4 linked regions of the Elephas maximus indicus genome follow. The protein of the gene in region 2 binds, or shares a complex with, the protein of the main gene of each other region. Links are inferred from orthologs where the notes say so. Each region holds a gene or a part of one and is shown on either strand. Other genes may lie near its edges. The genes, in order: CDC40, SNRNP40, LSM8 and BCAS2.

Evidence for each region.
Region 1: SNRNP40 (region 2) and CDC40 share a complex: the UniProt entries of both Homo sapiens proteins name them as parts of the postcatalytic spliceosome P complex. The link is inferred for Elephas maximus indicus from reciprocal best matches to the Homo sapiens genes SNRNP40 and CDC40.
Region 3: SNRNP40 (region 2) and LSM8 share a complex: the UniProt entries of both Homo sapiens proteins name them as parts of the U4/U6-U5 tri-snRNP complex. The link is inferred for Elephas maximus indicus from reciprocal best matches to the Homo sapiens genes SNRNP40 and LSM8.
Region 4: SNRNP40 (region 2) and BCAS2 share a complex: the UniProt entries of both Homo sapiens proteins name them as parts of the postcatalytic spliceosome P complex. The link is inferred for Elephas maximus indicus from reciprocal best matches to the Homo sapiens genes SNRNP40 and BCAS2.

Annotation. Positions count from the first base shown.
Region 1 is NC_064819.1:176,116,878-176,124,445, forward strand, and holds the start of CDC40 (pre-mRNA-processing factor 17), read left to right. Parts: upstream 1-4,561; 5' UTR 4,562-4,602; coding exon 4,603-4,791; intron 4,792-7,568. UniProt on the Homo sapiens protein: Required for pre-mRNA splicing as component of the activated spliceosome. Plays an important role in embryonic brain development; this function does not require proline isomerization.
Region 2 is NC_064821.1:72,228,329-72,235,985, reverse strand, and holds the start of SNRNP40 (U5 small nuclear ribonucleoprotein 40 kDa protein), read left to right. Parts: upstream 1-4,649; 5' UTR 4,650-4,694; coding exon 4,695-4,829; intron 4,830-7,657. UniProt on the Homo sapiens protein: Required for pre-mRNA splicing as component of the activated spliceosome. Component of the U5 small nuclear ribonucleoprotein (snRNP) complex and the U4/U6-U5 tri-snRNP complex, building blocks of the spliceosome.
Region 3 is NC_064826.1:31,453,740-31,461,432, reverse strand, and holds the start of LSM8 (LSM8 homolog, U6 small nuclear RNA associated), read left to right. Parts: upstream 1-4,684; 5' UTR 4,685-4,795; coding exon 4,796-4,826; intron 4,827-5,956; coding exon 5,957-5,997; intron 5,998-7,693. UniProt on the Homo sapiens protein: Plays a role in pre-mRNA splicing as component of the U4/U6-U5 tri-snRNP complex that is involved in spliceosome assembly, and as component of the precatalytic spliceosome (spliceosome B complex).
Region 4 is NC_064821.1:165,984,284-165,991,783, forward strand, and holds the start of BCAS2 (pre-mRNA-splicing factor SPF27), read left to right. Parts: upstream 1-4,484; 5' UTR 4,485-4,563; coding exon 4,564-4,656; intron 4,657-4,765; coding exon 4,766-4,858; intron 4,859-7,500. Other genes in the region: DENND2C (DENN domain-containing protein 2C), read left to right, coding at 1,016-1,047. UniProt on the Homo sapiens protein: Required for pre-mRNA splicing as component of the activated spliceosome. Component of the PRP19-CDC5L complex that forms an integral part of the spliceosome and is required for activating pre-mRNA splicing.

The sequences.
Region 1 (7,568 bases), on a different chromosome or scaffold from region 2:
GGCTCTTCTAGCAGTAACTCATTGAGAAAAGGGGATTAGAGGAGTAAGCAGTTCCCAAAGAACCTGGGCCTCTGCTGGGTAGAGTAAATAACTTACCTCCTTCTTCCACAAAATCCTCACAGGACTGCAATATCAATTAAATAAGACAATAAATGTATGGATGACTTGCTCATATAGTAAACATGCACTGTTATTTCTTCTCCTCTTAGGAGACCATGTTATACACTATTCTTAAGTATTAGTAACTTCCCAATAAGAAGCGAAAAGCTACAAAATACTCCACCATATATGACGAACATGGCTGTGTTTCATATCCCTCTCTCCCAGTATTCTGATCTTTCCACACACATTTGATTCCCCGCCAATGCACCTCATTTGTAACCACCACTAGTCTATAAGTGGAGGCTTGTGGAGCTTCTAGACTAAGGCAGACTAGGAAGAAAGGCCTGGTGATCTACTTCCAAAAATCAGGCAATGGAAACCCTATTGATCAGTTGGGGACCAACTCAACAGCAGCCAATAACAATTCAGACATTTAACACAGGATTTAATTAACATACATATTTTTATTAATAGATTGCTTGAAAATAAGATAAGTCAAAAAAGAAACAAATTTCTATATTGATCAAATTTGGGTAAAACAAAAAAATTAATGTACATTTTTATGAAGTGAGATATAAGGGGTGAGAATAAAACTGTTAATATCATTCCACAAGTGAAAGTTGCCTATTTTTACATTATTCAGTATCTAGTGCTATTTTTAAAAATGTGTGGGTAAAGTAATTATGAACTATATCTGAAGAGGTAAGTGAAGTTCAGAGAGCCCCAAATACATTCTTCCCTTCTCTTCTCTGAGATAAAGCTATATGATGTTCCAGAAATTAAAATTTGTTTGATAAATCTAAATTAATTCACAAAAAAGAAATTACAAGTAGTAATTTTAAAGACACATTTTAATAGTCTTATTTATGTGAAGTTTTCCCATTAGGTAACTGAAAACACTTTTGGTAAAAGTACTTATAATGTAGTATTTTAATAGTAGTTTTTGCTATGAAAATTGAGTTAAATTCTTCAATAAGCAAATCAAAAATTACTATCTTCTATAGTAATAAAAACCAAACACTGAGAAAAGATATCTTAAAGTACTCCTGTCTACTGTGGTAATGAAAATCAAAGAGAAAGGATTTCATAAAGTATTCTTATGATAAAGTAAAATGTATGGTTACAGCCTTATGCAATATTAACACATTGTCTCTGAATCTACGGTTATTTACAAACCTGAATAACAGAAACAGTAGCTCCATATCATACCTTACAAATGATCACAACTACGTATTCTGGATTTTCTAACCTGAAAAATTTGCAATGAAAAAGATCTTAAGATTTTTTATAAATTTTATCTTTCACAAACTTACTCAATGTTTTACTTGTTTCATTACCAAGTCATATAATTTTTTCATTAATATTAACTATTTTCACATAGATCAGTAAACCTAAAAAAACTCTTGATGGATGAGAAACACCCTTCATTTTAGAGCCATTCCTCTCCAAAGCAAAATTCAACGTAAATGAGGCATTCCAATGTATGAAGGAAAATTATGACATTTTTCATTGCAGTTTACACTGAGCTATTTTCATTAGTCATCAACTAAAATATTCAAATATTCTTTAAATGTATTATGAAAACATCTTTACTGAATTTATTCACACTATCTAGTCATGTAAATCAGTATTATCTTCATTTACCTGTAAGGAAACCAAGGCACAAAGGTGTCCATTTTGTAAATTGCAAGGTCATTTCCTAACCAAGAACCTGAGCCTACACCATCAAGTTTTATTATACATTTGCCACTTCCAAGTGCCAAAAAACAATTTACTGTACCTTAAAAGAACTGCCTCTGCAATACCTATGTACAATTTCATTTTATCAGAAGTGTGAAGGATTAATTCAACAAGATTAAACAATGAAAGCTGGAAAAAGAGGACTAAGAAAATAAAAACACTCACTTTGGAGCAGTGAAAAACTTTAAATAACAACATGTATATTTTTTTTAACATAATCATCAAGTAACCAACAGTTGTTTCTTACAGTTTCAAAAAATATTTCATCTTTCAGGTAGATCACATAAAAAGAAGCCTATCCATCCTTGTAGACAGAAGTTAGAAAAATAACGGTAAATTCTGTAAGAAGTAATTAAATGCATGACATTGCCAAAGAAAAGAATTGAATAAAAAAAAAATTAAGTAAATTAGGGAACGTTCAATACGGCAGTTAAAATCCCATCTTAAATATTAAATCCTCCCTTTCATTCAACTGGAAACTATTAGCAATCAAATATCCTCCTACTGAAAATACAAAACTTTTCTTAATCAAAATTAGAGAAATTGTGTATCAAATACCTTATTCACAAATTTGACAAATTAAAAAAAAAAAAAAACTTTTCCCAAAAGAAGCTTGGAGCATACAACAAAACTGTTAGAGTTCATGTGTTCGTAAATACTGCACTTGTAAATAGGATAAATGTAGTGCTATCAACAATTAGAAAATGGAAGTTACCTAACATCCAAAATAAAGTACGTTAAATAAGACGTACTGAATAAGCAATAAATCAATTGCTGAACAGAAATAAGATTTAACCAGCACGTGAATCTAACACTAAAGAAAAAAAGTATATTGTAATGCACATCTTACATAGAAAGGGATAGGATTAAACTGAGCCATGTTAAAATACCTAGTGTAGCTAGGGATTAACTAACTAATCGGTTATAGGACAGGTCGTGAATGTTCAGGTCAGATGTGCTGTCTTTTCATCATTATTTCAGTTCCTCAAGTGCAAGAGAAGGCGTCAGGGCGCCGAAGCTAGGGGGCATGCTGTAGCAAGGGGAAAAGAAAAATGGGAAAGGTGCAACGGATGCTGCATAGTTGAATAATTATCTGGGTGGCACAATGGGCGAGTCCTGCCGACATCGGAGCTGAGCGAGCAGCTCCTTAACTCTGCCCGAGGTACACCCTGCCGAGGCGCCTGCCCCGTTTCGCATCCTCTTCAAACGAATAAAGGGTCCCCCACTCGCTTTACCGTTATGTCTTTAGACACAGACGAGCGGCACAAACACGCAAACGCACAAGCTTGCTTTACAGAGCAGCGGAAACGTAGAGGCAGCAGGGGCTTCTCCCCGACCCAGTGCTGCAGCCTTCCCCAAAGCTAGGAGGCACGGGGTCTGGCCGTGGGTGCAGGTGGCCAGGGGAGCTCCGGCGACGGCACCTCAGGTGAGACCCGCAGTCTCTTCACCTAAAGCACCCCAGGGCGGCCCCTGCAACCGAGACCCAGGAGCGCCCGCCGCCGTCTCCCTCAGCACCCAGCCCGGCGGGCGGGTGGGCGGCGGGAGATCGGGAACCCACGAGTGGGGGTGGGGACCATCGCAGGGGGCAGGCGCGCCCATCCCCGTAACCTTTGAGGGGCTAGAGATCCCCACACACCTCTCTCTGTTCCGAATGCTGAGGAGCTCCTCTACTAGCAACCCCCAAAACCCCCACCCTCTAAAAAAAAAAAAAAAGGGCAATTCCTGAGAGACTCGCGCTCACCGTGAAATCTTAAGGGGGCTCTTGCTTACCCCTTCTTCATGCTTCGACGGTAGTCGCTGAGCTCCCTGGACTCCACCCGGAGCGCCCAGGAATGTCGGGCTCTGGGGCGGAACCCACTCCCGGCAGCGGCTAAGGCTAAGAGGGACAGGGACTGCCGCCTACGGCGTCCGCCGGTCGCCGGACTCAACGTGTGCCCGACGCGCCAGCGAACAACACCGCGAACCGCCGCCGCCGCCGCCGCCGCCGCCGCCCCCCCCACCCGCCCCCTCCCCGCGCGCGACGTTCCACAACCGGGCGAGGGGACCCGCGCCAGAAGCAGGGGGGACGGCTGGACTCTCATCCATCTAACCTTCCATCCTTCCCACCAGGAACTATTCCCCGCCCATAAAGGTCTTCGAACTTAAGACTTACGTTCCTCTTCAGTCTCCAGCGCCCAGGTGTAGCCCTTGTGGGAAACTCAGCCTCCGCCCACTCACCTATCACTAGGGGGTAAGAATCGCTATTCCCCTCTTTCCTGAGGATGTATGGTATTGCCCTATCCTCAGTTTGGGGGAGGGGGACGGAGAGAACAGCGCTTGGCTAGGGAATGAGGGAAGATGATAGCCAATTGAATGAACCATCTATTCAGGGGCGGGGTCGAGAGAGGACGGCCCTCCGCGCCCCGCCCCCTCACTCCAAACTACACTTCCCATTGTACCTTCTCCCACTTCCTGCCGCGCGGCACGCCGGGAGTTAGGACTTCGAGGCCTCAAGGTGTTTCGGAACTGGTAGTCTCCGAGTCAGTCAAATAGGTCCTGAAAGCTATAAGTTATTTAATTGTCTCTGTTTCTCTAGATAAGTGTTTCCAAATTTTTATTTCTCCTGTGGTTATTATACTAATAATTAATTTGTTGTTTTAAAATGTTATAAATGATTTCTTAGCGAAACGAGGTAAATAATGTGTTCCATGGTAATCTGTCAGGACCTGCGTGCCACTTCTTCCGCCGGGGCCTGGTCTCGGCAGAAGATCTGTTGCCGTCATGTCGGCTGCGATTGCAGCTTTGGCTGCTTCCTATGGTTCGGGTTCAGGGTCCGAATCGGACTCGGACAGTGAGGGTGGACGGTGTTCGCTGCCAGCCGCCGATTCCCTCATGCACTTGACTAAATCGCCTTCTGCCAAGCCCTCTCTGACAGTGGCGGTGGACTCGGCTCCGGAGGTGGCAGTTAAGGTAAGCACTTTGGCCGCTGCTGCGGTGCGGGATTTGTCCCAAACCCGGCAGCCGCGAAGGCTCCTTAAGCCCGGAGTTACCGCTTCCTTACTACTGAAAGAGAAATTGCTAACGCTTGGATTTCTTCTCCCTATATGCGTCTTCCTGGAGAGAAATCGAGAACTGGAATTTTTTTTCACTGTTTCCTGCCTTTATCTCCTGCCCTAAGAAAGCAGTTGAGAAAGTGGGGTGGGGGGAAGCGGTGAAATTTGAATTTATGGATTGGGACGTGGCCTAGATAGAGCAAGTACAATCTCAGTATGAGTAAAGCTACATCAGAACTGCCCAAACTAAAATGCGTGAATTTGGGCAAATTATGCAACCTCCCGTTTCCTTGTCTGTTCAGCGAAGGTAATTGTAACAGCACTTACATATGTGAGAGGACTATTTTGAAGGTTAAGTGAAACGATACAAATAAAGCTAATAGCACAGTGCGTGGTACCCAGTGAGAGTTCAGTAATTATTAGGTATTTTTTTTTTATTATGTATGTTATTACATGTTAGAAAAGGACCTTGAATTTAAGAAACAGTGTGCATGATCGCAATGGAAGAAGTAATAGAGGGAGATGTTCGGTTATTAAGTTTATTCAACATATTTACTGAGCACGTTGTTATTTGCCAGGAACTGTATTAAGGACTGAAGACTCAGGTGAACAAGCCAGACATCCTTGCCATCATGATCCATACATTCTAGTGGGAGAGACACAATAAAAAATGAGCAAATGAAGTGGTTATAGATTGGACTCAGAAGAGAAACCATGCAGTACTATGGTAGAAAATAAGATAGGAATATGCCTTGAGATAGGTTGGTCAGGGAAGGTCTCTCTCAAAAGATTGGACCTGAAGAAAGACAAGAAGCCAGCTATGTACAAGCTAAGACAAGAGCTTCCAGGCAAAGGGGATGGCAAGCCTTGAGATGGCAAAGAGCTTGGCATGTATGAAGAACAGAAGAAAGACCCATGTGGTGGGAGTCTGGTGAAAACATCCATCAATGTGGACCCAGTAGAGCCTGATGGGGTGATCAGAAGCTCAAGATATAGAAAGGGAAGGCAGTGTGCAAAAATTCCTTTGTATTTAAGATGTTTCAAACCAATATAGTAAGTCTTTTACAGGGTTTTAGTAAGCCATTTATGAATTTTATTTTTTATTAATGAACATCTGGCATGAAAGAATGCTTAAAGCTCTTCTATCTAAAACAAAACAACACTCGCTAAACTCATACTCCTCCGGCAACCTCCTGAGGTGACATTCCTTCAACAGCTTAGCTTTTTGGAAGAGGGAGCTGCACTCCCTCTCTTCACTTCATCTCATTTTCTTTTCAATCAGAGTCTGGCCCTAGCCTCTCGGGAAACTACTGTCCTTGAGTAATCTAGAATCAGAAGCCTTGTAATTGTCAAATTCTGTCACCTGGCTGCATCAGGTGACTCTTAAATAATAGTTCATCATTCTTGTAAGTTTTTCTCCTTTTGGCTTCCATGGGGCCAACCTCAGTCTTCAGGGCCACTGACCTGTCTCCCCTTTCAATATTGGAGTTTCCCCAGGCTCCGTCCTTAGTTCCTTTTGCACTCCACCTACTGTTCCATGATTTCAGCCTCTGTCTCTATACTCTGATGACTTACAGATGAACGCTATAAAGTGGTTAACGTGGGTTGTGGTGGCATCAAGACTGCTAGGATTCAAATCCTGTCTCTAGCAATTACCAAATAGTAACCTTGCATAAGTTACATAAGCATTCCGTGCCTTAGATTTTGGCTGAATCTTACTAAACATCTCTCCCGGGATGGCTGTCAGGCGCCTCAGATTCAATGTGCTCAAATATTAACACATTTTCTTTTCATCAAAATCTACTCTTTTCCTGTTTTCCCTTTTTGACTACTGACCTTACAACCCACCCATGGGTCCAAACCAGGAACAGAGCCGTAATCCTTTTCTTCCTCAACCCCTGAAGCTCATCATTCAGCGGATTCTAACATTTCTGCTTCATTAATTTTCTACTCTCACTTCATATGATCTTCATTTCTCCCAGGAGTTATTTTTTACTTTTCTTTCTCTCAGCGCTACTTTTGAATCGTGGGACCTGGCCATTGTAACTCATTTGTTGATGTTTTGTACTGTTGAGTGGATTCCAACTCATGGCAATCCTATGTGACCTAAGCCGTAATCTTTACAGAAGCGGAGTGCCAGGTCTTTGCGCCCACGGAGCTGCTGAGTAGGTTCAAACCGCCAACTTTTTAGTCAGCATAATTCATTAGTATTTACCAAATCTCTTTTCTGATGCCACTCTTCAGTTTAGATTCTTATCATTCCCCTTCAGGTCAATTATAATAAACTCATAACTTGCCTTTCTATTTCCTCCTTCACATTCCTTGCTCCACAGTGCACCCAGAGTGATCTTCCTAAATTTCAGTTTCATCCCTCCCCAATAGCCACCATGTTTGCCTACTGGGTAAAATCAAGTTCCTTACGTAGCATATGAAACCTGCCATGCTTCATGCTGAACTCTTTACAAAGCCCCAAAAGCCTAATTTTCTTTTCTCCCACCCTCCTCAAGATTTTGCCCATGCTAGTCTCTCTGCCATATTTATGCCTATTCCCAAGAAAGGTGATCCCACCAAATGCAGAAATTGTTGAACAATATTATTAATATCACACGCAAGTAAAATTTTGCTGAAGAACATTCAAAAGCAGCTGCAGCGGTATATTGACAGGGAACTACCAGAAATTCAAGCCAAATTCAG
Region 2 (7,657 bases):
ATTTACTTGCACCATTAGGAGTTGCCTTGCAATAGTTCTCAAGGCAGAAAATCTTCCCTGAGTGCTTCATTTCATTTGAGCACTTTAAACAATTGTACAATGTCGGGAAGCAACAAAGACTCAGTTTTTCTACCCTCAAGGGGCACAGCAAGGAAAGTGTCAGGGAGAGGGGGAACAGTAGAGAAATGGTAGCCCAGAGCCAGGTCAAAGCTGGCTGTAGAGGAAATCTGCAAAGACGAGCAACCCAGTGTGGGGAGGAGCAAGGTAACTGATAAGGTGTCCACACATTGGGGTGGCCCAGAATGGACATCCAGAGCCTAAACGTGGAGAGGAGGATTAGAGATAGTAATGCAATGTTAATTTTCTGATTTTAATAGTATATTGTGGTTATGTAGGAGAATGTCCTTGTTTGTAGGAAAAACTAAATCATTCAGGGGTGATGGGGCCCCAGGTCAACAACTTAACTCTCAATGTTATTTGTACTATACCTCCATAATTTTGTGATTGTTTCAAAGTTAAAAAAAAAAAAAAAAAGTGCACGCATTTGGAAAAAAAAAAAAAAACACAGCCTGTCCTCCCTTCCAACAAGAAATAAGAAGTTTTTAGAATAATATTAAATTAGTGAGATACTCTACAGCTTCTTTGGAATGTCATTTCATGTGTTACCATACTGACCTGGTCTAGATTTTTGTTGTTGTTTTTAAGTCTGCGTTGATTTAGATTTCTTTTTGTTGTTTTTTTATAACACTAATTAACTAGAAGCCTGAAGGAATTAAAGAGATGTTAACTTTAACCTAAGTAAAAGAATTCAGAGGAGTATCAGCTAACACTGGGATATAAACAAAGACAGAATAATTCCAGAACCTACATTCTTAACCATTATGCTACACTGCCTCAAAAAGAATGCATAGTCCACATTTAAATTTTGTAGAGTACAGCTCTAACACTAACTAGGTCCCACCACTGGAGGAATCAATATAGAGTAATCAGAAGGGCATCGTTCATGGAGAAAGCTAGGATGAGCAGAGTCTGGATTCATTCATTCAAACATGAAACCAAGGACCATTTCTTATTTAATCTTGAGGTCCTGATATACAGTGGGTACTCAAAGACTTCTTGAATGAACGAACAAAGCTTACTATAAATCAAGCAGAGGTAAAGAAAGAAGGCAGAAAGCGTTCTAGTGTCTAAAAGATACAGGAGGAGAAGGAATTTGAGTCCCACATGTTGGATATGCCAGCAGATGGGAAACTTTCAAATGCCAAATTGGTGGCCTAACCTTCCTCCTTCCCACCAAATTTCTAAAATGACTATCCTAGACACGTGCTTCTTCCCTGTCAAGTTCACTATCTTATACAGGTGTTTCTTCCTTAAGAAAGTAGTCAAAAGGAGGGAAGAAGAATAGTAAAAAGCCAGGAAAAGCACAAAAGGTAGACTCATAAAATGTAAAAGTTGAAGGGAATTATATTATTAAGCTTTTTTTTTTTTAACTGAAATTGAGGCTAACAGAAGTCAAGTGATTTGAAAAAGGCTGCTGAGTTACCAGAGTTGTTACTAAACCCAGGACCAGTACTTACTCTACTGCCTCACACTGTTCTTTCAGGCAATAATCCCTAAGGTCCCTTCCAAGTACTCTAATAACAACAGTTAAAATTTGAGTGTTTCCGATTTGCCATGTATTAATCTAAGAGCTCTACTTGTCTTAACCAATTTAATCCTCTTTTTGACCACCCTATGAGATGGCAATTATCACTGCCATCTTAGAGATAAAGAAACTAAGACACAAGAAAAGCTACGTAACTTGCCCAAGATTACAAAACTATGAATGATAGAGATGGGATTCAAATCCTATCATCCTCTTTGTGAACATGTTTTCCTCCCTTTCTAGATTGTGAAATTCTTGTCGGCATGCCCTTGTCTTGCACATCACCATATCCTCCCGCCCCCAATCCCCAGTGCCTAACACAGAATAAGGCACATAGAAATTCATAACTGGCTGCTGAAAATACTGAAGTACTTGATGTTACCCTATTTTAAATTGTTAGTTAATTCATCAACTCAGCACAATATTTATTGATGCTTATATGCCAGGCCTTGTGCTAGGTACTTTACAAACCTAATTTTAATTCTTAAAAAAACTCTACAAAATAGGTATCTCCATTTTGCAGAAATGAAGTAACTTGTCCAAAGCCACACAGCTAGAAAGAAACAAATCTCAGGCAATTCCAAAGGCTAAGCACACGTGCCACTAAACTACCCTTTCAACGCAGTCCCTATCCTCTAAAATCTCCTAGTCTGGTAGGGATGATGATGAAACTATTTATAACACAGCGTGGTCAGTGCTAAAGTAATGGCTAGGTTCAAGATAATGAACAAACAAGGAACAAAGAAAAGACCTGAGAGAAGCAGGGAAGTTCAGAGATGACAACTAAGTAGGCCTTTAAGGATAAATGGGTATCTCCAAGAAGAGACTACTGTTGTTTGACCACATAAGAACCCTGAGGTACTGGCCTCTATTTTCTTCCCATCTATCAGCCCTCGCCTTTTTCTTCGCTTTCTTCCCTGTCCATCTTAGATTCCAGTCCATCATTCAAGTAATACCCTTAACTTTACCTTTTTATAGCTTACCTATCTGGCAGTACCCCTACTCTGTTGGGGAACAGTTGCAGACAACAGAATCAACTGTAGCTAGGTTAAGAAGAGATTTACTGCCAGGTATTATGTGGCTTTCAAAATTACTAGAAGGGTGATAGAAGCAGGCTCTGACAGAACTTGCAGGAACAACTCCTAACCTACAACAAAGCACACCAGCTTTGCCACCCAGATCAAGAAACTAATGGCTATCACTGCATAAAGTCACCAAACCAGCGAACTGTTGACTGGAAAAACTCATTGCCTCTGCCATTAACTGTCAGCAAATTATGCCTTGAACTCTGCTTCTCTCTACATTTAGCTCAGTTCCAAATCCAATTCTCAGCTTCAAGAGTCAAATAGTTTTTAGCTTTCCAGCTCTTCAGTAAGATACAGTACATTAGAAGTTGGAACGTGTGTTGTGTGAGCCAAATCCACAGTCCTTGCCATACCTGGATATGCTTTCTCCATGCCTGGACTAAAAAGCCTGGTGTTGCCAGAAAAAAATTTATGATCTCCAGTCTCAAAATGGGTTCTTAACTCTGCCTGGAAATCCTACATTTCTCTGGTGAACTCACTCTCCCAACCTCAGGAAACGGTAACACCATCTATTCAGCTGTAGAAGCCAGAAACCTAGGCGTTATCTTTGATTCCCCTCTCTTCTCTCCCTGAATCCAGGTTCTACCCACTTCACCTTCTATAAATCTCTAGAATATCCTTGCCAACATCTCTCAAAGGACTACTGTATATCCCTCTAAGTGGTCTATCTGCATCTCCCAGGGCTCCCCTCCAATCTATTCACACCACTAACCCAGAGATCAAGCCACCCGCAAAACCCTCAATGACTGCCCATCAGTCTTAAAGCAAAACTACAAATTCCTATAAAGTGTGATCTTCTAACCACCTTCCACTTCATCTTGCCATACTCTCCTTCATTCGCTTTGTACCAGCCACTCTGGCCTGTTCGTGCCTTTTAGTCATTTTGTTCCCACCACCATAGGGCCTCTACACATGCCGTTCTGTATGGAATGTTTCGCCTTCCCTTCTTCACCTAATTAGAATTCTTCCCTCAGATACCAGCTTAAGCATCTTTTTCTCAGAGAAGTCTTCCTGCTTATTTCAGGCACTCAGAGCAACAGCTACCTCTCCTAGGTAGCACTTCCTTTTCCTCACCAGACTCAAACTCTCTGAGGTCAGGGATCATGTTGGTTCATACTGTATCCCCAGTGCTTTGCACAATAAATATCTGTTGGATGATTAAGAGAAGGCCTAGTTCACAGGTATGGGTCTCAAATATCTAAACAATACTGGCCTCTCAAGAAGTCGGAGGTGAACCCTTTCTTCATCTCTCTCTCTCAGAGGCACACAGCAGGCCATAACAAAAAGCTGCATAGTCAGTGGCAGAAACAAGTGTCGCCTCCTCAGTCAGAATGAACACTGGTGGAGGCAGGGAGACAGGCCTTTTCTCCCAGGGCTGAACACAATTAGTCCCTTGTTGAAAAAGTCAGCCAGCAAGGACCCCCGGGAAACCGCAGGATCTGGGTCCTGCCGCCAAGAGACCCCAAAGCTCTGCTCCTGCCTGGAAAGAGAATTGAGGCTGCTACTTACCAGGGCTCCAAACTCGGGCCTGCCTCCCACCCTTTTCAACCTGCATCTTCACCTGAAAAAAGCCAAACTCAGACCCTACTACCGAGATGCGACCTCCAGAGTCCCGCAGCCACCCCCGATCTTCCTTACACTTACTCGCTGTTAGCTCCAGGTCGCCCAGCCACTGCACTGCGCGAAAAGCCAAACCCTCTCAGCGCGCTTCCACCCACAAGACACAGCGCGCCTAGGCGAGACTCCAGCTCCATCCGCCAATCCTGGAGCCGTACTCTAGCGACGTCAGGAAGAGCCGCCCAATAACAAGAGACTATCCGGAAAGAGCGCAGGTAGGAGCCTTGGAAACCGATTGGTTTCTCCAAGCCGGAAGTTCCGGGGGAAGAACTAAGTAGGAACCAATCGCTTGGTCCCTGTGTGTGTCGGCGCGGCCAGTGCCGGTGCTGAGGAGAGTGGCTGCCGCCATGATAGAACAGCAGAAGCGAAAGGGCCCAGAGTTACCCCTGGTTCCAGTCAAGCGGCAGCGGCATGACTTGCTGTTGGGAGCGGCGGGGTCGGGCCCCGGAGCTGGACAGCAGCAAGGAGCTTTGCTGCAAGCGGTAAGTGAAGGAGTAGGCGGCCTTCGGCCCTCAGCTCATCCTCCTCTCTCCTCGGACCTCTGCACTAGGTGGCCCCGAACCGGCCTTTCCACACGCTGAGAGGGGAGGAATGAGAATCTGTATATGGAGTTAAAGCAGGAAATTCTGTAAAAGCGCTTGACAACCTGCATACGTTCAGTATGTGTTTTCGCGTTTGACACCTCGTCACCGTCTCGACAGCCCTGTGAGGTGGCGTTAGAATTGTAGTTTAAGAGCCTTGGGCTTATTGTCGGGACCCGAACTTACGCATCCTAAAATTTCGGGAGATCTGGCATAAAATAAGCATTCAGTAAAAGTTTGTAGAGCGAATGAATGAGTGAGGTAAGGAAGAAAATGAATGATACTGGCTCGCTGTGGAACTTAGGACAAGTTGCTTTTTTCTTTTTCAACTTCCCTTTATTTCTTTGCACTGGTATTAACTACTAGTACTCTTGTCAATTAAGATCAGTTGCAAAAGATCTCCTTGAAGTGTTAAAAAGCAAAGATGTCTCCTTGAGAACTAAGATATGTCTGACCCAAGTTATGGTATTTTCTATGGCCTCGTGTGCATGCAAAAGCTGGACAAAGAATAAGGAAGACTGAAGAATTGATGCATTTGAATTATGATGTTGGTGAAGAATATTGAATATACCATGGACTGCCAGAAGAACAAACAAACCTGTCTGGAAAAAGTACAGCCAAGAACGCTCCTTAGAAATGAATAGTGAAACTTTGTCTCGCTTAGTTTGGACTTGTTATCTGGAGGGACCAGTCTCTGGAGAAGGACGTCATGCTTGGTAAAGTAGAAGATACGGAAAAAGCAGAAGTCCCTCAACAAGGTGGATTGACACAGTGGCTGCAACAATGGGCTCAAACATAGCAACAAGTATGAGGATGGCCCAGGACTGGGCAGTGTTTCATTTTGTTGTACATGGAGTTGCTATGAGTTGGAACCAACTCAAGGGCACCTAACAACAACAGTAGTATTATTAACAATAGCTAACATTCACTGAGCTCCTGTGCCGAGTGCTTTGTATATATAATCCCCGCTAATAATGGTAGCATCTTAAGAGTTAGGAACTGTTATTATCCTATTTTGCAGATGAGAAAACAGACTTAACTAGTAGTTTCCCGTTTAACAACTTCTACAAAATTTGTTCAGCGATCTTGGTTACATTTTACACTTTGTGTCTACTTTATCCTAATCAGGACTTTGAACCGGTTCAAGCCATGGCTGAGGAAGCAGAACTGAAAGACTCAAAATTTGGGTGAAGTAGAATGGGAAAGATTATGGATCGAAGCCCTGGGATCAGAGACTCAGAAGAGGCATAGTGAGCCTTTTCAGGAGCCTTATCGGGAGATTCAATTATTGCCAGGACTGTGGAGGGTGACACACTTTCAAAGTGGCACAGGCTACCGTCTTTGAGCTGGGCACTGCTGTTCCCAGTTTTGACAGTCAAAATACTTGGTTGTTATGTAATGTGCATGCTGTCCTTGTTTTCTAGAGGGAGATTAAGTTTCTAGCAGGGCTTCAACCTGTAATTTTTCCCAATCCGCTTCACTCACATTTTAAAAATTCAAGTCCGTTTGGGTTTCACTGCATCGGCCATGACTGCACATTATTTCTGTTCTCGGTGCTTCCGATGGTCTAGTTTCCCGCCCCCTTGCGTTCTCATCTTTGTTTTAGAGTAAGTGTTGACCATCTGGTCTCATATAGGTGATTTTTTTAAAGGAGCATAGTACTCACGGAAGATGTTGTTTATTTTATGTGCCAATATATTACTTAGCTAAAAGATGACCTCACGGGATAGTTTTGGTTCCAGGTTTAAAGAATATCTCAGGGCGATAGTCTTGGGGAGTCCTCCAGTCTCAACTAGTCCAGTAAGTCTGACTTTTTAAGAATTTGAGTTACGTTCCAGATTTTGTTCCCGTTCTGTCAGATCTATCTATTGTGGATCTGATCAGAACAGTGAGTAGTGGTAGCCAGGCACCATCTAGTTCTTTCGGTCTCAGGGTAGAAGAGATTGTGGTTTGTTCAGACTGTTAGTCCTGTGGACCAGTTTCTTCTCTGAGTCTTTGGTTTTTTCATTCTCTTTTTCTCTGGATGAGTAGAGACCAATAGTTGTATCTTAGATGGCCACCCTCAAGCTCTTAAGGCCCTGGACGCTACTTCTCAAACTAGGGTGTAGAACATAAACTTTATGTACCTTATTATGCCAACTGACCGAGTTGTCCCCCAAGACTATGGTCCTAAGCCTTCACCCCGTAAACCAATCCTGCAACATGTTTATAAGTATCTGTGTTTTTGCTGCCTATGTGGTTTATTGTGTATATGAATATATATGGATACGTACTTACACGCCCACACCGATATACACCTGCATATTAAAAAAAAAAATCAAACCCATTGCCATCGAGTTGATTTCGACTCTTAGTGACCCTATAGAACAGAGTAGAACTGCCCCACAGGGTTTCCAAGGAGTGCCTGGTGGGTTCGAACTGCCAACGTTTTGGTTAGCAGCTGTAGCTTTTAACGTATATGCCCACTGTATACGTAAATATACATACCTGTGCACTTGTATGCATACACATGTATCTACACTCCTATTGTTGCACAGTTGTATATGTCCTAGCGTTTACCAAAAACGTCCTTTTTCCTTGCATACTTCTAATGACATCATTTGCCCTGGTCAGACTCTGCAAACCCTGGTGGCATAGTGGTTAAGTGCTACGGCTGCTAACCAAAGGGTCGGCAGTTTGAATCCACCAGGCACTCCTTGGAAAGCCTACGGGGCAGTTCTACTCTGTCC
Region 3 (7,693 bases), on a different chromosome or scaffold from region 2:
CCTTCTTGCCTGCATGATTTCTGCTGCATAATTAGAGCTTAATCTAGTATGTGACTTTTTGTTTTTCTCGAGTTGCTCTCAGGATTTTTTCTTTGTCTTTGGTTTTAGCAAGTGTGAATGATATGCCTTGGAGTTCTTTTGGCGTCTATCCTACATGGGGTTCACTGAGCTTCTAGGGTGGTCAGATTTTCATCATTCATGATATTAGGGAAGTTTTCTGTTAGCAATTCTTCAGTGTTCCACTGTGTTTTCTGCTTTCAACCCGTTCTAGAACTCTGATCACTCAAAAGTTTTTGCTTTTGAGTGTACCCCACATAACTCTCAGGGCTTCTTCATTTTTCTTCATTCTTTTTTCTGATTTTTCTTCAGAGTTGTATCCAAGTATTTGTCTTCAATTTTGCTGATACTGTCTTCTACCATTTCAAACTTGCTTCTCAGCCCTTCTATGACACTGTCCATTTCTGAAATCTTGTTTATGCTTTGGATTTCTAATCATTTTTGTGTGATTTCTAGTTGTAACTTGATTTTGGCATTTTGTTCCTGTATTATTTTCTTGAGCTCTCCTATTTTTTTGGTCTAAATTTTCCATGAATTTGTCTGCCTTTTCCATAATTTGTATATTTTTTCTTCATTTTTGTCTGCTTTTTGCTTCAACTCTTGGATTGCTCTGAGATGTGAATTTCCTGTCAGGTAGTTTAGTGCCTTTTCTTCTACTCCAAAGTTAGCTGGTATTTTATTTTGGACGCCTCCTGGAACCATCCTGTTTTTTTTTTTTTTTTTATGTTTTGATATCATCTGCTGTCTTTGGGACATTCAGTAATTATTTTCTTTGTTTCTTGATTATAGATTTGTTTTGTCCCGCTTTTTTATTTTATTTATGTCTGAGCAGGTGGGCTTTGCATTCTTTGTTGTTTGCTCGTCTGTAGTCATGATACTTTTCACCTCCTTGTCCAATAAGCAGGGCCAATCAGTCAGCTATAGTTCAGCAGGGTAGGTCCAATTGAAGGTGAAGGGCTGGGATGCACCATTTGTAGCTCATACTAGGGCCAACAGGGCAGGCCAGGAATCAGTGCTAGGTAGGTTCTGGTAGGCTGTGCTGATTAGGATTGTGATGTTCAGAGCATGGTGTAGGTAAGCAGGAAATAGGGGGAGGTTGTGACGTGTGGAGCTAATATGGGTATGGGAAAGAAGAGAGAGAAGACAAACAGGAGCCAAAAACAAACAAAGGAAAAAAAAGAGCGCTGAGGGAGCTTACCTTTGGAGTAGAGAGATCAGAAACCGAGAGATGGAGAAAATAAAAAATGAAACAAAAAGGGAAAAAGCAAAACAAAAAACCCAGGGGTCCCACTGGTGGGGGGAGTGAAGACCGGGGAAGTGGCTCCCAGGCTGCACAGTATAGCCTGGCTAGAGAGGGTATAAATATCACACAGCAGCAGGTATTCAGGAGACAGGAAAAGAATGTAAGTATAGACAGACGGGAACTGAGAAATGAAGACAGACAGAAATGGAAAAAGAGACAAAAAAAGAAAAGAAATGCCCCCAGGGATTCCACCTCTGCGGCTGTGTAGACTGAGAGAGTGGCTCCTAATCTCTGCAGTGCAGCTTGGCTAGATGGGGCTCCCAAGCTGTGAAAGGAAAAAGAAAATAAAAACAAAACAGAACACGGAAAAACAAAACAAGAAAAAAAAAATGCAGCCCCAGGGATCCCAACAGCACAGTGTTATGGGCCAAGGGAGTGGTTCCCCAGTTGAGCAGGGCTTCACAGCCTTTCAAGAAAAGCAAAGATGGCACACACAGCCAGGTGCTTGAGAGAAACCAGGGGTAGGTGGTGGGAGGCATGGAAGACACCAAAAGAAATGGAAAGAAGGAACAAGAGCTCAGGGGGCTGGCCACTGTGGGCGGGGGGAATCCATGCGGCCCAGGGCCAAAGCAGTTGCCTCCTGCCAAAAAACTGCGCCTGGGAGTAAGGGGGCGGGGGGAGCGGGGGAAGGGTGGGCGTTAGGAAAGCGTATGTTGTTTGTTACCGGGTACTCTGTCTCCTGCTGGGAACTTCGTGAAGATGCTTTCTCATACTCCCTGCCCACGGATCTCTGATAAAGGTGGGGTGAACCCAAGTGGCCCGGATGCGGCACTCCCCAGCCAGCCAAGCCACCGCAGCCAGCCAGGAAGCTTGGAGGTAGGGCAGTGGGGAGAGGATGTGGGGGTGGGAAAGAGTGTATCGCTGGTTATCGGGTTTTCTGTCTGCTGCTAGGAGCTCTGTGAAGCTGCACTGCCGTACTGCCTGTCCGGCAATCCCTGACAGGAGTCCAAGATGGCGGATCTGTGCTGTGTTAGCTGATAGGGAACCTTCCAGGTATCTCTCCTCAGTTTCTTATTCCATTCGGTGTTTGGCTGAGTTCTTTATGTCTTCATTTGACACTTCAGGTTCCAGCAATGATGTCTGTCTCTGTTTTACTTAGTTTTTTGGGTCTTTGTTGTGGGGAGGGGTGGCCTGGTGCTTCTACCTATGGTGCCATGTTGGCTGCAAGTCAAGAGTGATGCATAAGGCTAATTTAGATAAAATATTTATGTACTGTTTGCATCTACATATAACTCATTTGTAAAGTCTCAATAAATGGGCATTTCTTTACCCATAGGCTTTCTCTCCACATGTATGATCATAGGGAGCTACAGAAAATGTAGCAGTTACAAGACACGTGTAAAAAATTTTCAGATAAATTTCCTGATGCTCCATAAACATGGCACATCTGTTATTTATCTGGCATATTAATTTAGTGAAAACTGCACAAGATCATAGACTTAAAATGTAATGTGTTTATGATTAAATTAATTCTATAAATTACTATATGGTGTTAATAAATGTCAAAACATAAGCAACACTCCAGGGGATGAGAAGTTCCATGCATTATTCATTTTAAAAAGGTGGGATATAGTTTATTTTTTAAAAACTCCTTAATCATACTTCAATAACTAGTAGTTCTTCATTTTTCTTTTAATTTGATGCCTAACATTTGCAAATCACACAATATCTTCATTTTTTATTTATGGATGATACATTTTTCCCCCCTAGAAAATACAGGAATATTCACTACGTAATTCCTGACTGTATGTGGTTTCAAACAGGTCAGAGTAAGTTTCAGTTTATAAAATATTAACCATTGGGGAGTGATTTGTAGGTAAGTTTGTGGGTATGCTCTAATGAAAACAGATGCTTGACTTTTCAGAGGAAAATTGCTCATTTCGCAAGAGTTATTTCACATTTATACTTCTTCAGTTAAGAAATCACAAGCCTAACTGAAATCAAAAAGATATTTTGTGAAAAGGGGAAAGAGCTCCCACTGGTGTTTTGTGTATTGATCCTTTTCTAATTTCAAGCCCTTCTGAGAGCACCACAGTATAATAAAATGGAAAGAATTATGTTTCCCATTATCATCCTGAAATATTCAAAATGAAAGCTGTGGAAGGATCTAACATCATTACTTTATAGTGTTACTATATAGTGTTAAGGAGCCCCTGGTTGCGCAGTGGTTAAGCGCTTGGCTGCAGAATTACTGCTCTGTGGAAGAAAGATGTGGCAGTGTGCAAATGTGGAAGGAACTCACCAGCCTCGGATGATGATGTGGCAGTCTGTAGATGTGGCAGTCGGCTTCCGTAGGATTTACAGCATTGGAAGCCCTATGACACAGTTCTACTCTGTCCTACAGGGCAGCTACGAGTTGGAACTGACTCCACGGCAGTTAGTCTTTATGTAGTGTTAATAAACATTTTCAAAACATAAGCACATTTCAAGGGATGAAAAGCTCCATGCATTATTCATTTTAAAAGGTGGCGCATGGTATATTTTTGAAAAACTATTTAATAATGATACCTCATAATGATGAGGAAACAGGTCCAGAAGAGCTGAAGTGACTTGTATAAGGACACACAATTCAGTAGCAGAGCCAGGACTAGAACCCAATTTGGTGCACATTTATAATATACCTCTTTTCTTGACTAGTCTTCATTGGTGGTGCGGACTTGCCTTTTATTTAGTCATTTTATCCTGAGGACAGGGAGACCTCCTGGCTTGCTAGAAGCTTAAACATTTATTTCCTAGGAGTTGCTCACACACGTTCACTTGTTTGGATTCAGTTTGTTAAAGTGAATCACGATGCCTCCAATGGAGTTCTTAGAGGCACATGGAGAATATGTGAACATGCTTTTTCTTATCGTCTTCTCCAGAGATGTACAACATTATGGCTCCAACGTGTGCAACTTTTTCTTGGTCCATTTATCTTTTTTTATATTTCATTTTAAGTCCGTGCTGCAGAAATCAGCTAGGGATCCCAATTCCCCGTACCCCTATTTCTTAAGACAACAGCACTTACCTATCTTCTTCATTTACACTCAAAACATCGTATTTCGTTCTCTCCCGCCTTTCCTGTCTTTTCTAATAGTTTTTCCTAGTAACTTCTACCACACTACCTTTCACTCCTGACTCCCTCTTACCCCGCCTACAGGCACCTGCCTTTTTTCCGCCTCCTGTTTGCTTTTGTCTCCCGTGGCTTCCGGGATCGCCGCCCGGAAGAACCACGGAAACACACTGCGCACGCGCACCAGTTCGTCACAGCTCCTGCTCTCTGATATGCGGCCCAGTTTCTGTCAATTTCTGACCCACGGCAAATACGGCGCCAGCAACTCTCGCGATATTTGCTGCCGTCAGTGGGCGCGAGCCGCGGCCAGTTGGTGGCGGGCATTTTTGGCTTCTGCTGTTGCTGGAGCTGCCGTGTAGCCCGGAGTTCCTGGGCCAGACATCATGACGTCCGCTTTGGAGAACTACATTAACCGTATCCTCCGGAGGCCGCCGCGGCGAGGCACGTGTCCGCACCGGAGTGGTGTCGGGGCTTGAGAGGCCGGGGTTCGGGATTCCTGGTGGGTTGGGACGCCTGGCTACTACGGGGCCCCGGGTGCCGGTGAGGGGGATAAGGACCCGCGACCAGCCAGTCTTGCGCTGGGGCTCGAGCCCGCCGCTCCTGCCTCGAGTCCGAGGTGTGTTTTAATTCCGGCCTAAAGTAAAGTAAATCCAGTGTAATTATCCTGAACTTTTCTCTGCCTCTATAGAATTCCGCTATTGATTCAGCCTTATTATTCCCCCAGGGCCCACACGTTCAAGTTTCAAATAAGGTGAGCGGTTGTCATAGTGGCGACGAGGGTCTTGTAAATCTGTGCACTTGTTTTATTGACAGGCATGCTCATTGTTGAGATAGCAGAAGTTTAAAGATGGTCCATAAATTGAATTTCTGCTGCTTTACCACTTGAAGGCTCATCTTCCTTGTTGCTAGGATGGAAACAATGCTTGCTTTTTCAATGAATTGTCCTCATGGTCCGAAACTCGTAAAGAACCAGATACAAATGTTACTGTTTTAATGTCTCAGGACAGAAACAGCACATCGTGTATTCATGCACAAATTGTGAACAGAAGTTAAATACTGAAGGCTTTTAATGATGCAAGCCTATTGGTGTCTTATGACATTGGTTATAGTATCCTTTGTATTCCAGAAACCTGGAAGACAGTGTCTTAACATGCTTGAAATTGACTGATTTAGCAGCCATACAATTTTTATTCTACAAATGAAGAAATAGGGCTAAGAAAGTGGGGAATGTCTTGTTCAAAATTGAAATTTCCCAGTAAAAGCGAATACCAAATACCCCAGCTGTTTTGAGATGCTTATCACATAGAAAAAGGAATTTTCTTTTTCTGTTACTTTTGTGTGTGTGTGTGTGTAGTTATCTCGAAGACAGGATTGAAAAAAAGCTACAGATTTTAAGTCCTTAATGTTGTGTATTTAATGGCCATGTTGAATAGTTATTTTTAATTCTGTCGCCCTTTTCTTAGTAATTGGAACTGTGCGTTTACCAGATTCTAAGTTTTCGGTTAGCATTTCCTAAGAAATGCTTTCCTTGATTCAGTTATCAGGAACTGTTGCTGTTATTACATCCGATGGGAGAATGATTGTGGTAAGTATGCAGCATTTTCATTCTCTGCCTTGTAAACTATTGGTAGTAAAATAATTTTTATGTGGAACCTCTGACATCTAATGTGTAGGAACCAGAGTATACCTGCATTGCACTTTTCTTATGATCTAACTCTTTGCCCTGATGTCTTTGATAAATAGCTGCTCATCTGTATTTTTTTTCCGTTAATAAACATCGAGTGCGCATTACCTACTAGCTTCTACTAGGACCTAGGATGAATCGATTCTTCCCATCAGGGAGCTTCTAGTCTAGTATGCAGATGTCTATATGTATCTTATGGTCACATATTTGTCTTGTTCTTCGATATTTTATTTCCTTCCCGTTCAGAGCTTGGACAGCTGCCATGTGAATCAAAAGTTTTTTGAAATTTTGTGTATACTTAGAAGTTGTTCTTTTTATGACTTAGATACTACATATATACAGCATAATGAACATTTAAGGCTTGTTTGTGTAGCCTATAACTATTCCTAGGTTATATAACCTATTTTCTGTAGGACGATATATGACTGACTATTTCATCTTATTTATGCTTTTGTCACAATATTGTTGTTAGGTGCTGTGGAGTTGATTTTTGACTCATAGTGACCCCATGTGACAGAGCAGAAGTGCCCATAGGGTTTAATCTTCATGGAATCTTTATGAAAGCAGGCCACCAGGTCTTTTCTCCTACAGAGCGGCTGGGTGGGTTAGGACAGCCAACCTTTCAGTTAGCAGCCAAGCACTTAACTGTTGTGGCACCAGGGTTCCTTTTTGTCACAATAACCTCTTTTCATTCTAGAAAAATCTTGGATTCTCTCCTTGATCTGATTCTGGAAAACATTCCTCAGTTGCTAATTTAACTCGTATAACAAAGCTATAACTTTCTTATGGCTGATGTTGATTTTTGGAATTTGATTTGAGGAATTTATCCCATGATACTTGGCTACTTAATTATTTTATCTTCATTTATAATTGATACTGTGTTTGCTTTCAAAAAGGTTGTAAGTCTGCTAACCTTTCTCCAAGGAGCCCTGGTGGCACAGTGGTTAAGTGCTTGCCTGCTAACTGAAAGGTTGGTGGTTCAAACCCACCAGCCACTCCATGGGAGAAGGATGTGGCAGTCTGCTACCGTAAAGATTACAGCCTTGGAAATCTTATGGGGCAGTTCTACTCTGCCCTATAGGGTCTGTATGAGTCGGAATCTACTAGACTGCAACAGGTTTGGGTTTGGTGTAACCTTTTCTCTATTTTCTAACCTTTTCTAATTTACTTCATATAATTTAACCCCTTATTTTCTTGTTCTGCGGTCTCATTTTTGTTTCTGTGTTTAATCCATATGATTTTTTCTCAGTGGGTCATTAAGTGACTATCACTAGTCAAAGTGCTAGACTTCACCACTTATTAAATGTGTATTATGTTCCAGGCACTTTACATAGGTTATGTTATTTAATCTTCAGTACAACCCTGTGAAGAATTATTGCTGCTTTATGCTAGGTTAGGAACCAAGCTAAGAAAAGGTAAGTTAGTTTCCCAGAGTCACATAGATAATAAGTGGTAGAACCAAACTGGGATTTAAGTTTAGTCTGACTCCAAAGTCAAGGACAGTTGGCATATTTTCTTTACCAAGGGAACAATCCTGGTTTTCTTAGGCATGCTGTATTGTATATTTTGTCAAATAAAGGCCATTTGAAGTATTTTA
Region 4 (7,500 bases), about 94 Mb from region 2:
TCCAGATTAAAAACACCTGGTTTAGTTCATAGAATCCTGATTAAAAGGGGGGAAATGCAGAACAGAATTTCAAATTCTCATGGAATCCAGAGTTCCTGGAACCATGAAGGTTGGGTGAACCCCTGAAATTATTGCCCTGAGATAATCTTTAAACCTCAAATCAAAAATATCCCCTCAAGTCTTCTTAAAACCAAACAATAGTTTAGCTCAACTAGTAAAAAATGTCTACTCTGAGCATTATGCTCTTTTAAGAACTATCTATATTGGATCAAATTGACAATAGCAATTCTAAAGATTAGATAGAAACCTTAGGGGGGCAATGAATTTATGTTAATGAGGAAGGAACAACTCAAAGGAGGTTGAGAATGGTTACACAACTTGAAGAATGTTATCAATGTCAATAAATGGTACATGTAGAGACTGTTGAATTGGTGTATGTTTTGCTGTGTATGTTTTCAACAACAACAAAATAAATTGTATTAAAAAAAAAAAACACCTGGTTTGCATGGAATCTGAGGCAAAAGGAAATTTCCTACAAATGTTTTATGCATCATAGAGAAACACAGATGTTCATGTAATTTTTTCAATTACAGTTAACTGTTAATTATCCAGGGGATCTAGGAACTGTGGTATAGCTAGTCTAAAACAACGAACTTAAATTCTATGGTATTTATACTGGTCTTTGAAATATATGTTCCTAATTAGGCTCTGTCCCTAATGAGCTGAGAGACCTTGGACAAATTATGCCCCAGGCTGTTATTTCCTCTTTAAACCACAGTGATTATTAGATCAGTGGTTCTCAGCTCCAAAGTCTGAATACTCTTCTACCTCTACAATTAGACACTTGGGAGTTTTTTTGCTGGTTAATTTTAAAATATGTCATTTCAGAATACATATCACCTGATAGCTTACTCATGGGCTATTCTGAATGACTAAATTTTAGCCATTTGCCTCAAATAATCTACGATAAGTAAAAATGAATTAATGAGAATTTCCTTTTTTTTTTTTCTTTTAGGGAGTAAAATGAAATTTCTCCAGAAGAAATGAAATCTTTGATTGACTGTCTCTATCTTAACTAGAAGGGAATGTGCCAAAGAAAATATTTTCCCAAGAGTCAGATGCCTTGAGGTATTCTGCAAACTCCTTGGAAGTTTAAAAGGTTTCAGAGTGAGGCCTGCCTTCAGAGGAGGACTCTCCTGTTGCTGCTGTGGTAATCACTGGAGAATTGTTGGCGGTAATCTGGAACCAATGCTCTCTTCAGTCTGCCTCCAATTTTTTTTTTTTAAGTGGGCTTTTTACTTGATATTTGGACTCATCGTTTTGTGCTTAGTTTAGGAAGGCACTTGTCTTTTGCAGGGGACAGACTTGTTGGTTTTGCATTTAAAAAACAGCTCAAAGATTAACATAACAAGGGAAATGCCGAGATTAGGGTACTAGAAAAGCATGATGGAAGTGGAGAACACTAGCCCTACACACATAATTCTCATCACCGAAATATCATGGCAGCTTTAACCCCATGGACTCATTGAGCTGGGCTAAGTAATATAATCATATGCCTCCTGTTTTTTGATTTTTTGTCTCATGTTCTATCTAGGAGAATCCCACTTAGGTAGAAATCCTTTTTGTTAGGACTGGTATTGCTTCATAAATATAGATGTCTTGGAGCTCCTCCTTCACAATATGTTGCACTTGGGTAGCTTGTCCCTCATGTGTCAACATTAAACTTTGTGGAATTATAGTTGCTAGGAAAATGTCCTTTCAAGGGCATGGGAACTACCATTTTTTTTTTAATTATCCATCATGTGCTGTGTACTATGCTACATGTATGTATGTCATCTTATTCAATCCTTACATCAATTTTTATGAGACAGATATTTGCATCTTCATTTTACTAGTGAAGAAACTGGAATTCAAAGAGGTGAAATAACTTGCCCAAAGTTACACAAAAGAGCCCATATTGACGCCCAGGACTATTATTTTATGTACGCAGAGCAAGTTGGTTAGTACTGCAGATGAAAATTTGCTCTCTGTGGGATTTCAGTATTTAAAAAGTTTCCTATTAAGCTGAACCATACCAGGGCCACCTCCCAGCTCTGAGGATGAGGGACTTTAAATTATAGTACCTGAGATAAGACTCTTTTTTTAGCTCCTCATGAATTGTTGGACTTTTTGCCCTAATTAAATTGAACTCAGAATTATGAACTTTCCTGGGCTCCCTCCACTTAACCACCCAAATCCTTAATTTCTAAACTAGTATTAATCATTGGAAAGAGGAATTTGTTAATGAGAGGCAGTTTTCACTGATAAATGTTATAGCAGATGTCAGTCTGTTTTCTTCAAACCCTGCTAATGGTTTTAACTGGCATAAAAAGTATTCAGACTTAACAAAACCTTAAAAGTTGTGTTGTGCTACAATTTATTGACTTGTACAGTATTGTCTTAACAACACATTCAGGTGTGCATGCATGAATCTGAAGCCGACACCATGTAAAGAACGGTGCTGTGTAATATAATTCCTATAGATGTGGGTCCAGGGAATAGAACTGAGCTCATGTCTTATTAAAAATGTTTATTAAGCAGCTTACCCCAGTGGGGCTTTTACCAGACATCTCCTCGTTTGATTTCTTCTAACACTGAAACCCTGAGGGAACAAGCAAGCAGTAATTGGGAATTGAGTGTTTATAAAATGGGAGTAAGAGGGATTACTGTGGTGCATTCCTTACCATCCCTCTATGAGGAGATCTTTGCTTCAGGATGGGGGACTTTATCCCTGCAATTTGAAGCTGCTCCCCTAGGTCTGTTATATTTTGTTTTTGTAAAGTGTTACATATTCTGGACATGTTTGTAAAAGACTTGCTCAAGATTTGTATAAAATGTTTACAGATCTTTAAAAGAATAAACACACAAAAATCCCACAGACGTCTGGACAATTTTAAATAAAATTAAGATTTAGAGATCTTATTTAAAAAAAAATTGCATCAATTCCAATTCATGGAGACCACATGTGTTACAAAGTAGAAGTGCTCCATAGGGTTTTCTTGGCTTTAATCTTAAGAACAGCAGATCCATCCCCAGGCCTTTCTTCCATGATGTGCTGGTTGGGTTTGAACTGACAAGCGTTAGATTACTGGTTGAGCCACCTAGGAACTTAGAGATCTTATCCTTCACTTAAATCCATGGGTAGCACATTTATCTAAATAATGGTAAATTAGAAAGCTAATCAAGGAGCCTTGGTGGTGCAGTGGTTAAGAGCTCAACTGCTAACCAAAAGGTTGGTGATCTGGGTCCACTAGCCACTCAGTGGGAGAAAGATACGGCAATCTGCTTCCGTATAGATTACCAAAAACCAAGCCAAATCTGTTGCCATTGAGTAGATTCCAACTCTTGGGGCCCTATGGGACAGAGTAGAACTGCCCCATAGGGTTCCCAAGGAGCAGCTGGTGGATTGGAACTGCTGACCTTTTGGTGGGCAGCCAAACTCTTAACGATTGCACCACAAGTGCTCCTCTGTATAGATTAAACCTCCTCCCCTCCAAAAAAATGGCCTTGGAAATCCTATGGGGCAGTTCTGCTCTGTCCTATAGGGTCGGTATGAGTTGGAATCCACTGGTCAGCACACAACAGAAAGCTAATCCGAATCAATTTTATACCAACCAGGCTTAATAACTGTGGTCAACATTTCCAGGCTCTTGGCTGACAAAGCCTGGGTTAGACTGTACACTGTGTAGGGTCTTTGCTTCATCAAAGGAGGCTGAGAGCCACGTACCACACAGGGCACTGCAGTGCACCGGGCTGGTTGGGGGGCAATGAGGAGTGCGTTTCTATTACCAGAAGTCCTGGAGGCAAAATGACTGGGTTTTGTATACGCCCTAAAAGCAAAATGACAGGATTGTTCAAAGTGCGGTTGATGAGCGGTTATCAGTTTCGCGGTGGGCAGATATGATTCTTCTTGTTACGCAGACCCCAAGTTTCACAGTTTTAACTGAAGACTGGCATACACTTCTTGTGTCTGTGAAAGAACTGTACTACCCAATGCAGATATTCTCAGGACGCCTAAAGCGAAGGATAGTGGGGTGCTGCAAAGAAGTTCAAGAGGAGGAAAGGCTACCACAGGGGGAGAGAAGGCTCAGGGGAGAAGAAAGGTTAGGGGAGTAAGCCAATTTGGTAAACTAGTTTCTCTCCCCGCCAAACCCTGCAGCCAGTTGCCGCAAAAAGTTTTAAAGGCCTCCCCTCCCGCATTTTAGTTTTTAAATAAAGGAAACTTTCGTCTTCACCAAACCGCTTCCAGTCGGAGGCAGACAAAAAAAGAGCAAGAGGGAGACAAACAACCGAGACCTTCCGCTGACGCTAGGGAATCCGGACGTGACGTCACGGCCCACCAAAATAAAAGGGCCCGGCTCTTCTAAGGGGCGGGGCGAGCGCGCCTTTCGAATTGGCGATTGAGTAAGTGCTGAGGCCCAGGCGCAGGCGATACGGACGACGTCCGGGGTAGGCGCAGGCGTAGTTGAGAGTACTCGAGTTTGCGCAGACTCAGAAAACTCAGTCGGACCTGAGGTACCCGGAATGGCGGGCACAGGATTGGTCGCCGGAGAGGCTGTGGTGGATGCGCTGCCCTATTTTGATCAAGGTTACGAAGCGCCTGGTGTGCGGGAAGCGGTGAGTGAGGGGTGTCTGTAGCTGACTCGGCGCTTGCTAGATTTCACAATGCTGGAAGATACACGTGACAGTTTGCCGCCCCTACCCTGGCCCCCGTTCTCGTTCTCAGGCTGCGGCTCTGGTGGAGGAGGAAACTCGGAGATACCGACCTACAAAGAACTACCTGAGCTACCTGACAGCCCCGGATTATTCTGCTTTTGAAGTAAGTGAGCTGTCTTGAGCCCCGGACGTGGAAGATAATTCCACGAATCTTTATTTTGGATTGAGAGCCTTCGCTACGTAAAAGTGAATTTCAGATTCCCACTCTAACTATTGCTTGCTTAGCTCTTACTCTGACGTATGGGTATCCGTCTATGGAAAACAACTAGATGGATAAGCATTCTCCGGGCCTCTTATCCTGAGACCCTTAGAAGGACTTTCGGGGAGGAGGGGGGATGCTCCGCGAACTCCCAAACTTAATGCAGAAACTTGTGTGTACATTTTTTTCTGAAATGGGATCCACACATAAATTTTCAAAGGAACCCGCTACTCTATAAGGTCTACTCTAAAACAAGTGATCTAGTTTGGGATTTTTTTTGTGTGTTTTAATAAGCTTAATTACCTTGGCTCTTGAGAACCACTGGAGGGCGGGCTTTCTATTTGTATTTTACCAAATGGATGAGAATGACCGAATGGGCAAACCAAGGTACCTATACAGGTATCCCCCGCTTTTCAAAGTTTGCCTTTCGCCACTTCGCTTCTACGAAAAGACCTACATGAGTACCTGTTTTCACTAATAGAAAGAAATCCCAAGAGGATTTTCGATGTTACGAAAACCAGAAATAGCTTTCAGCATTTGTTTTGCACCTAGCCATTAAAGAGGCGGCGAGAGTGGCGGCGTCGCCAAGCTCCTTCCCCGGGAATTACATTCAGCATCTCAGCTTTTACTATATGTTGGTATTATTTTATGTTTTATATGTTATTTGGTAGGTTATTTTGGGGGGGGGGTCTGGAAATGCCCCAAATTTTTTCCCATATAAGTTAATGGTAATTGCTTCTTCGCTGTAAGCCATTTCGTCTTAGGAAAGGTTTCATGGGAACTCTACTTTTGGATGGGGGGCGGGGAGACAGGACACTTGGATACCGTTTTAAACTGTTTACCGTAGGAGTGAACCCAGGATACTGATTATGGTCTAATCCGCTGAATGTAAAGTATTTCTAAATTACTGGATTGTTTTAGGCATTTCCGAACATTATGTTTGGCGTTTTCCCCTCCCTATATGCAACCATTTATTTAGGAGAGGATTTTGTTGTTAAAAAGCAGTATTTATATTTGTTACATGAAAAAATGTTGGTTAAATTTTAAGTAGGAGAGAGATGTTCCTTTGAAATTCTGTTTCGTTCGGCATTTCACGTAAAAACCAAAACCAAACCCACTGCCACAGAGCTGGTTCCAACTCACTGCGACCCTATAGGACAGAGTAGAACCGTCCCATAGGATTTCCAAGGCTGTAAATCTTTACAGAAGCGGACTGCCACACCTTTCTACCGCAGAGTAGCTGATGGGTTCTGTTTTCTCATACTTTTTTTTAAATGTAGTTACCCAAAACTAAAAAACCCGTTGCCATCAATTCAATTCTGTCTCATACTGACCCTGAACGACAGAGTAAAACTGTCCCATAGGGTTTCCAAGGCTATAATCTTTATGGAAGCAGACTGCCACATCTTTCTCCTGTGGAGCAGCTGGTGGGTTCGAACTACCAACCTTTTGATTAGCAGCTGAGCACTTAACCACTACACTACCAGGGCTCCTTTGTAGTTACCCAAATGTGGGTTATTTCACATTAAGTACTAAGTACAGTAATGCTTCCTTATTGGACTGAAACTTTTAAATATTTTAACCAGTTTTTAAATTTATTTTTACTTTAATTTGCTCTCTCAAATACAACATGTTTTCAATCTTTATAACTAGTATACTGATTATTTAACCCCCCTTTTTTAAAATTGTGCTTTAAGTGAAAGTTTACAAATCTAGTCAGTCTCTCATACAAAAATTTATACCCACCACTACCCACACCTTTTATATACTCCTGATTGCTCTGGCCATAATGAGACAGCACACTCCTTTCCCTTGACTCTCTCTTTTCATGTCCATTTGGCCAGCTTCTGACCCCTCTGCTCTCTCATCTCCCCTCCAGACAGGAGATACCAGCATAGTCTCATGTAGCTACTTGATCCAAGAAGGTCTTTCTTCACCAGTATCATTTTCTATCCCATAGTAGTCCAATCCCTGTCTGAAGAGTTGGCTTTGGGAATGGCTCCTGTCTTGGGCTAACAGAAGGTCTGGGGACCTAATCCTTTCTTAAAAATAGGAGGTAAATATTGTTCTGGGCTTACTTAGTCATCAGAACAGCCCTATGAACAAATATCTGTATTATCCCCATTGTTTAGGTGGGTAATTGTGTTCAAGATCTTAATCACTCCTCAAATTGCCCTTGAAACTGCTCTTCCATTTATTCATTTAACAACTATTTATAAAGGTTTGTTACGTGCCACACTTGGGGGGACAGGATAGGCAAGGTCTGTCCTCGTGGAGCTTACATCCTAGCGTGTTGAAACAGAGAAATAAATCAGCAAGTAGTGGATTATTCATAAATGATATACAAAGAATTCAAGTAATGATGTGATAGAGTGGCTCAGTGGCTGCTTTAGATTGCATTCTTGAGGAAATCCTATCTGTGCTGAGATGAGACTGAATGTTAGCTCCATGAGCAGCAACCTTGTTTGTCCTCTTTACCACTGTATCGTTATCACCTAGAACAGTGCCTGGCACATGATAGCAACCCAAATATTTATTAGTCGAAC